Linked DNA regions of Alligator mississippiensis. The protein of the gene in region 2 interacts with the protein of the main gene of each other region in a pairwise test. Links are inferred from orthologs where the notes say so. Each region holds a gene or a part of one and is shown on either strand. Other genes may lie near its edges.

Region 1 (3,747 bases), on a different chromosome or scaffold from region 2:
AGCTTCATGTGGTTAAAGATTATGAAGAGGCTTCTTGTGATAATGCATTAGATACAACTGCAAGATTAACTTGTTCCATATTTTAAACAATGCAAGTTGAAAAAACATACTACAGACAAGTTGCCAGTAGCATTAAATAATTCAAAGAAGGCAGAGGCATTTGGAACATCTAGAATAGCCTCATTCTTCAACAGACATCTGCACTAGGAAAAGGTATTCTAAGATGATCTGGAAATGTGCATCTTTTTCTACTTGGAGATAAGGCCAGCAAATCCAAATCCAAAAACAACAAGTGCCCTCCACCTATACTGGTCAAGAGTCAGGGTCAGTATTTGCAAGTCTCAACTGATTCCAAATCAATGCATGGCAACTATCCATTTTCCAAAAGTACCCTCTCCTGTCTGAATATTATTGTTTAGGTGAAGCCATATAATCTATGAACATATGATCTAAATCATTATCACAGTGCCTTCTAAGCAAGCTGCTCTTATTTAAACTTCTGTATTTGGAACAAAATTCACACACTTGTATCTTGGAAAACTAATCAATGAAGCCACACGAGGGCCTGATTATGCTGAGAAAGGCAAGCAGTGGCAAGACTAATGACAATGGAAGTCAATTACATCTCACTCACTGAGCCCTCCATCTATGAAATAGGGACACCACAACTTCCAACTTGAGGAAGAATGACACTAACCCTGCAACATGTCAAAAATACATCAAATAAACCCTGGTTAATTAACCACTCCTGGAGAATGCAAACAAACCTTACTCAGCAATGATGAATTAGCATTAGTGGGGGGGGGGGGGGCCCCCCACAGGCAGAACAACAGGAAACTGCAATCATAGCAGTATGTTATTCTGTAGACAAATTAACCTCATGAAAGCCACAACCTGCAATCTAGTTTAACAATAGCAAATCTCTTGTAACTAGTTATCTACACTCTCCATTTTTAAAGACACTTGTTAATACCAAGCATATTTATGAATTTCCAAGAGTCCAAATGAGCCACATGAGTAATACTAGCATGTTCCAAACACTGCCTACAATATGACTTTCTGGAAAACCCCAAAACCAGAAAGATTCATAACCTGATTTTTAGAAATTGTTACTATTCCCTAATGTAAGGTCCTCTTGCCTCTACTGCTTCATTTGTTCGTTTGTTTTCGGTGTTTTGGCAAACAGCTTTCCTAGAATACCCTGCCAGGTCATCCCAAGTAGGGTTAAACGTGTGCTTACACAGTAGCCAAAAGCAAAGTATAGCTACCGCCATTTTTTGGATGGTTCACTGTAAGCAGGACTTAATCCCACCTCAAATATACTCTTTTCTTAGTAGATTATTTAGGATGAGCATAGGATATGGATGCTCTTGAAAAATAAAACAAGTCTGAAATGTTACTAGATGAAACATCATCTAATTATGGCTATCACTTTTACCTCCAAGGGCACCAGTTCATTCAAAGAGCACAGCCTTTAGTTATCACTGCTGATTACCTCAAAACCCAGCGCTGCCCAATGCAGCCAAATCTCTGCTGAAGCTAGAAAACGCTACACCTGCTATTGCAAGGGCAGTGCCAGGATGCAATGAACAGCTAACACCCCAGACTGATTTCTGGAGTTAGCCTAATCTCACTAAGAAAAGCAATGCAAAACCTCCATGAGAGGCTTAAAAACTGTTCTACCGACTGACACCTAGAATGAAGACGCTTGGTTTCTGGTCAGGGAGGATGCTGCACTGGGCAGGGTGCTGGACTAGGTGACCTTGGGAGGCCCCTTGCAGCCTCTTCCCTAGGACCCTACCGACTACACATCCCAGCAACGGGAGGAAGTGAAAAGCCTCTTTCAATCCTTTTTCCATTTGAACCAAGCGGCTCCCTGGAGAAGAGGCTGGCGCGCTGTCACGGGTGACCGGCTCAGCCCCTCTGCCCGTGAGTTGGGGCAGGATCTCGGCCCGCGCAGGGCTGCCCCAGGGGGTTTCTAACGCCCCCCTCCCTCGGCCCGGCCTGTCTGCGGCCCCCAAGCGGAGTGCGGGGTGAACCAGGAAAGGGGCCCCGCCGCACACGAGGCCGGCGCCCCGGGTCGCTGCACAGGCCGCCCGCACCGCCCAGCGGCCCCGCACCCGCCGCCCTGCAGAGGCGGGGCGGAGGCGGCAGCGCTGAGGGGCGCTCGGGGCCGCGCCCCCACGGCCCTCGGCCATTTTGTCCCTCCGCCGCGCGCCCGGGTCCCCAGCCCAAGATGGCGCCGGGCGGACTCACCACAGAGCGCGCGGGGCGGCTAGAGCGCCCGTGCCGCCCCTCCCCCCCCGGCCGGCCCGGCGGCCATTTTCTCGCGCCAAACCCAACCCCGCGGGCGCCTCCCGGGGCCCGCGACCACCGAGGCCTCCCCGCGCGCGGCGGGCCGTGGCCTTCCGCCTCGCTTTCCTGGCCCCCGAGCGGGCCGGGCCGGGCCGGGCCGGGTCGCGGCGGAGCACAGCCCCGCGCCCGGGCGGGCGCCCGCGCACAGCTCCGTGTATTACCCGCTCGCCGTAGTTCTGCTCCCCGCTGTCGCTCATCGTTTCCCCCCCGCGCGAGCTCCGGGCGACCGCGGCGCCGCCGACCCGACCCGACCCGACCGTCCCAGGCGCGAGCGCTCTCCGCAGCGGAAGTGACGTGCAGGCCGTGCGCGCGCGTCGTCACCTGACACCCCTCAGCTCCACCCCCTTCCTGTGAGCCCTCGGTCCCGCCCCCGCGCGCCGGGAGGGGGAGGGGGAGGGGAAGGGGAAGGGGGCGGGGCGGGAGCGGCGGTGTTGCTGCTTGCCGGGCCTGCATCAGTGACAGTAAAGGTGTTCCATGTGGACCGTCCTTTTAGAGGCCGCAGGTGGAAACCGAAGCAGTGACACTCAGGGAGGCTTAACCGCCTGTGGGGTCGGCTGTCAGCCCTTCCTCCCCACCAACTGGCTCGAAATAAACGCCTCAACTTGAACCCAGGTCTCACTCACTGTGAACAAGAGAAAGCAAATAAGGAGAAATTTATTTGCATGTTTTTTCAGTGTATGGTATTTTTTCAGAAAACACAATAATTTTGAGCTTTTCATATTTAAGACCTGGCAGCGCTGCCACAGAGAGCCTGTGGCTGAGGCCGTGGGAGCTCCCCAGCGAGGGGCTCAGTCGCACCTGAGCTGGGGCCAGAAGCAAGGGGCAAAAAGGATGCCTCTAGTGCGGCCAGGCCAGCCGCAGCTCTCTGGTGCACGCCACGCCCTTCTGCCGAAGAGTTCGTGTCTGTGGAGGCACGGGGATGAGCTGAGCTGCCCCAGGCACTGGCACTGGTGCAAGAAGTAGAGGTTCCCTGGGGAAAAAGGGGCCAGACACGGGCTTGGAGGGAAGGGGCATTGGTAGCTGCTGGGCACAGGCATGAGGGCACCAGAGCTCCCCAGACCTTCCCTACTCGAAGCTGCAAGTGGGAGAGGAAAAATCCTGGTCAGTCCCAATGTCCGGTGTGACCCCGTTTCGAGGTGCCATTGCCGAACGTGGCCGGAGCCCACCAAGCATGGCTTTAACCACAGAAGGAATGGGCCACTAAGGGCACATCACTGATTGCATGGGACAGCCAAAAGACAAAACAGGGATGGGAGTGAAGGTCAAAGGTTCAGAACAAGCTGTGTTGATTTTGGGGGACAACTAAAACACAAAATAGGGATGAGAATGAAGGTCATACGTCCAAAATGAGCGGTGTGACATGGGAGACTGGGCGAGATGGATATAGGGTGT
Region 2 (3,747 bases):
CTGCAGTCTTGGACTTGTCTGAGGGTTAATGAGCACAGGTTGGTGTGCTCTGCTCAGTATTGGCCCTTGGTGCACTCATTCTGAACCTCTGACCATCACTCCCATCCCTGTTTAGTCTTTCCTTTGTCCCAAGAAATTAGCCATTACTTTCTCAGTGGCCTCCCTTTGCAAGTGAAGCTTATAGTTCTCCTTGGCAGGCAATGGTCCATGATCCCTTGAAAGAAACACTCTGTCTCTGTCCATGGGCCCAAATACTGAGACCTCCTGGGCAATCTTCTCATGGCCTTGTCCAACCTAGTGATCTACTTAGCCAGGAAGGAAGCTTGGGGGGGGGGGGGGCAAGACAGAGACTCTTAGGGACTGTAGAACTGCTTTTCTGTCTCTGGTCTGTTCACATCCCTGGACAGTTTCACTAGACAGTGTCCATTAGCTCTCTGGACTCAACCCAGGGTGAATGGACATTGGCTGGTGTGCTCTGCTCGGTGTCCTTTCCCCACAGTGCACTTGTTCTGAACCTCTGACACTCACTCCCATCCCCATTTTGCATTTCGTTTATCCCATGAAATTAGTTACTTTCTCAGTGGCCTCCATTTCTAAGAGGGGGTTTACAGTCTTTCAAGCTCATATCCCTTGAAAGTAACTAACTGGTCTGTTCCTGGTCTGCTCACATCTGTGTGCAGAGTATCACTGGGCAGCATCCACTGGCTCCTTGGACTCATCTGAGGGCCAGTGGGCATTGCCCAATCTGCCCTATGTGCTCTGCTCTGTCCCCCATCTCCCCTGGAGCACTTGTTCTGAATTCTTCCATCTCTGCTTATTTTTTCCAAGTGTCTGGAAAAATCAGTTGCCGCATACTGGGTTGGCCTGTCACAACAGGGGTGGAAACCCATCCTATGTGGGCACAAGCCCATGACTTTTCTGCATACCAGACAGGGCCATGTCACATAGTAGCAGAAAGCGGGTGCTGAAAAGGAGAGCGACTAGGGTAAACCCCCTCCCTGTCACCCCACTGCAGCCGTTTCAGCAGCATTTTGAAAGATCAAGACATAAAGGGAAGAAAGAAAAAAATAAAAGCTCATCAACTTCAGAACAAAGTGAGAATTTTCCAGAACCCTAGTTTCAGAGAAAAAACCCATACTAAGCAACCTCTCACCATATTCGGAATGAACAGCACCTCATGTTTGACATGTACAGACCTAAAGTCTGTATTGTAAGTAAATTCAAAGTGTAGTCCATACAGTCAAATGCAAATCCATTCCAACATCATCTCAGTTTTCTTCAAACCATTCCTTCCTTCCTGCATCTTGTGCTTTATAACAAAATAGTTCTTCTATTAATGACACATGCAACTAAACAACAAAATTATTTATACCCTAACCACTTTTATCACGTGTTTCTCAAAAACACAAATAAATGTATGACCCCCCACCCTATGTTCTGGTGCAAGACATAAGCATCTCTCAGATTCCAAGTAGAGCTGGAAGAAATTATAAGAGCTCAGAGGTTTGTCCAGTCTTAGACAGTTGCAGAGACTTTAATAACTAAACTTGAGACTGAATCACATCTTACTCTTACACTTTTAAAATACCTTCCCACTTTTTGTATGTTCAGTGAGTCCTATGGGAAAGACCTGAAAACAAAAGCCTCATAAAGGATTTCAGAATTAAAACTAGTTTTACTACCAACTTCTCCACTTTGTAAGAAACCCCATGGTTAAAGAGTATGCATAGCTGTCAAAATTAAACACTGCTAACATACCAATCGGTTAAAGAAATGACAATAACAGTCCTATTATCTGGCTGTCCTGTTATCAGAGACAGGGAGCTTAAAAAAATGGTTTTATGTCATGTTGAAGATACCCTTTGCAGGTGACCTGAACTACACATACCAGAGCTCAGGACTACTGACCAAGCATGATACCAACCACACCTTTCCTTAGAGCCTGGGAGCTGTATAAAATAATGCTAATGACAAATTCTACTGCAATTAAACACTGTAACGAGAAAGAAGCATAACTCAACACCCTGCTTGCCAACAGACACCTTTGGGGTAAATACACTGCTCCAACTTTTACTGGAGCCTAATTTGCAGAAAATGAAAAATGAACTTTTCCAGGCAAGAGATCTTACATTGCCCTCCTGTGAAATATGAATTTTCATTTCTACCTGGGAGAAATTTTGCAATCTTTGCATTCCCCTATGCCTGAGGAAGGGCATGTGCCCCCAAAAGCTTGCAAAGAAAGAGTTTTGGGATTTTTTTTTGCAACCATCTAGTCAGTCCAAGATATCGCCTCTAGCCCACTGAATGAAGTCAACTGCTTTATTTATTTATTTATTTTTGGAGTAGATAGATATGATCCGCCCCATGACTTAACACACCAGACTGAAGAGCTCTCTTTCGCCCTACCAATCTTGATCTGACAGCTGTCACTAAGACTTCGGATTTCTTCTACAAATGTTTCTTAGAGTAGGTATGTGCAGAGGACGAGAGGCCCACACCGACCCGCTCAGGAAGTGAGAGCAGCGGCCTCATCGCCCGCTGCCGCCATCCGAGATGGGGAATTAAAAAAAAAAAAAGAGAGAAACGCGGTTTGGTGCCGTGGTGGGGACCTCCTCTACAGACCCCCGCACTGCGCACCAGGCCGGATGCCGCCCCAGGGACTTACAAAAGCGGCGCCAATGACACATCCCAACCCCCCCTGCCCGGGCCCGCCGCCGCACTTGTACCCTGCTCCTCCCGGCTGTCCGCCGCCATCCCGCCGCCGGGGCTCGGGGCCTCGGAGCCAGGCCTAGGTCGCGGGAGCCGCCGGGGCCCTAAAATGGAGGCTGCTTCCTGGGCGGAACAATTCCCCCACCTCCCCTTCTACCCATCATGCACCGCTTTGTTTACGCTCCACGCGTCACAACGCCGGGCCCTGACGTCACCGCGCGCGCACGCCCGCAGCAGGGCTGGGCGGTGAGGAGGTGGGGGGGTGGGGCGTCGTGCCAGAATGCCGAAACCGCTGATGTCATCGCGTCCGCCCGCTCGCGGAAGGCGTAGGAGGGCGGGGCATTACCGCTACGCTCATCACGTGGCTTCTCCTGTAGCTGGGCGCGCGGGGGGCGGGGCTTGGAATCATCCTCCCCCTTCGAGTTGCAGTCACTGCTGGGGGGCGGAGAGGGGCGGGGCGGGACGGGACGAGGCGCGGACTGTGCGGAGCCTGCAGACCTGTGGGAAGCTGTGGAAGCTGCGCACGCGCGAAACGGGGAGGGGTGCAGTGTTGCTAGGTGTACGGTACGATTGTATTTGTAGGATCACTTCAACCTTCCTGCCATGTATAATCAATAATAGTAAAAGTGTTCAAAAAGTCTGATAATTTTTGAGGTAGCTCACTGATGCAGCATATGCAAAGCCCAAGTCACTCTCAGGGAGTTTTAACCATATTTCAGGCTTGTGGTCAGCACTTTTTTAGGACAGCTTGTCTTGAAATAAATAAATGCCTCAACTTTGATGACCCACTTCTCACTCTCTGACTGGGGAGTTATAGTGAGCAATATAAAGTAAAGAAGAAGACTTATTTACATGTTCATTTGTACACTTATTTGCATATCTTTCTGTGTATAATAATTTTTCAGCAAAAACGATAATTTTGAGCTAATTTCATATTGAAGACCTGGCAACGCTGGGGCAGACCTAGGGTGTTGAATAGAGGTGGTGCACATGGTGAGGTGTCTCCGGCCATTGAAGGCAACACATAATTTTTCTGCA

What was found.
Region 1: the proteins of YTHDC1 (region 2) and TRA2B interact in binary tests that used the Homo sapiens proteins (3 or more experiments, as listed by UniProt). The link is inferred for Alligator mississippiensis from reciprocal best matches to the Homo sapiens genes YTHDC1 and TRA2B.

The regions. Positions count from the first base shown.
Region 1 is NC_081830.1:33,879,430-33,883,176, reverse strand, and holds the start of TRA2B (transformer-2 protein homolog beta), read right to left. Parts: upstream 2,646-3,747; 5' UTR 2,553-2,645; coding exon 2,517-2,552; intron 1-2,516. UniProt on the Homo sapiens protein: Sequence-specific RNA-binding protein which participates in the control of pre-mRNA splicing. Can either activate or suppress exon inclusion. Acts additively with RBMX to promote exon 7 inclusion of the survival motor neuron SMN2.
Region 2 is NC_081825.1:132,859,785-132,863,531, forward strand, and holds the start of YTHDC1 (YTH domain-containing protein 1), read right to left. Parts: upstream 2,867-3,747; 5' UTR 2,755-2,866; coding exon 2,727-2,754; intron 1-2,726. UniProt on the Homo sapiens protein: Regulator of alternative splicing that specifically recognizes and binds N6-methyladenosine (m6A)-containing RNAs.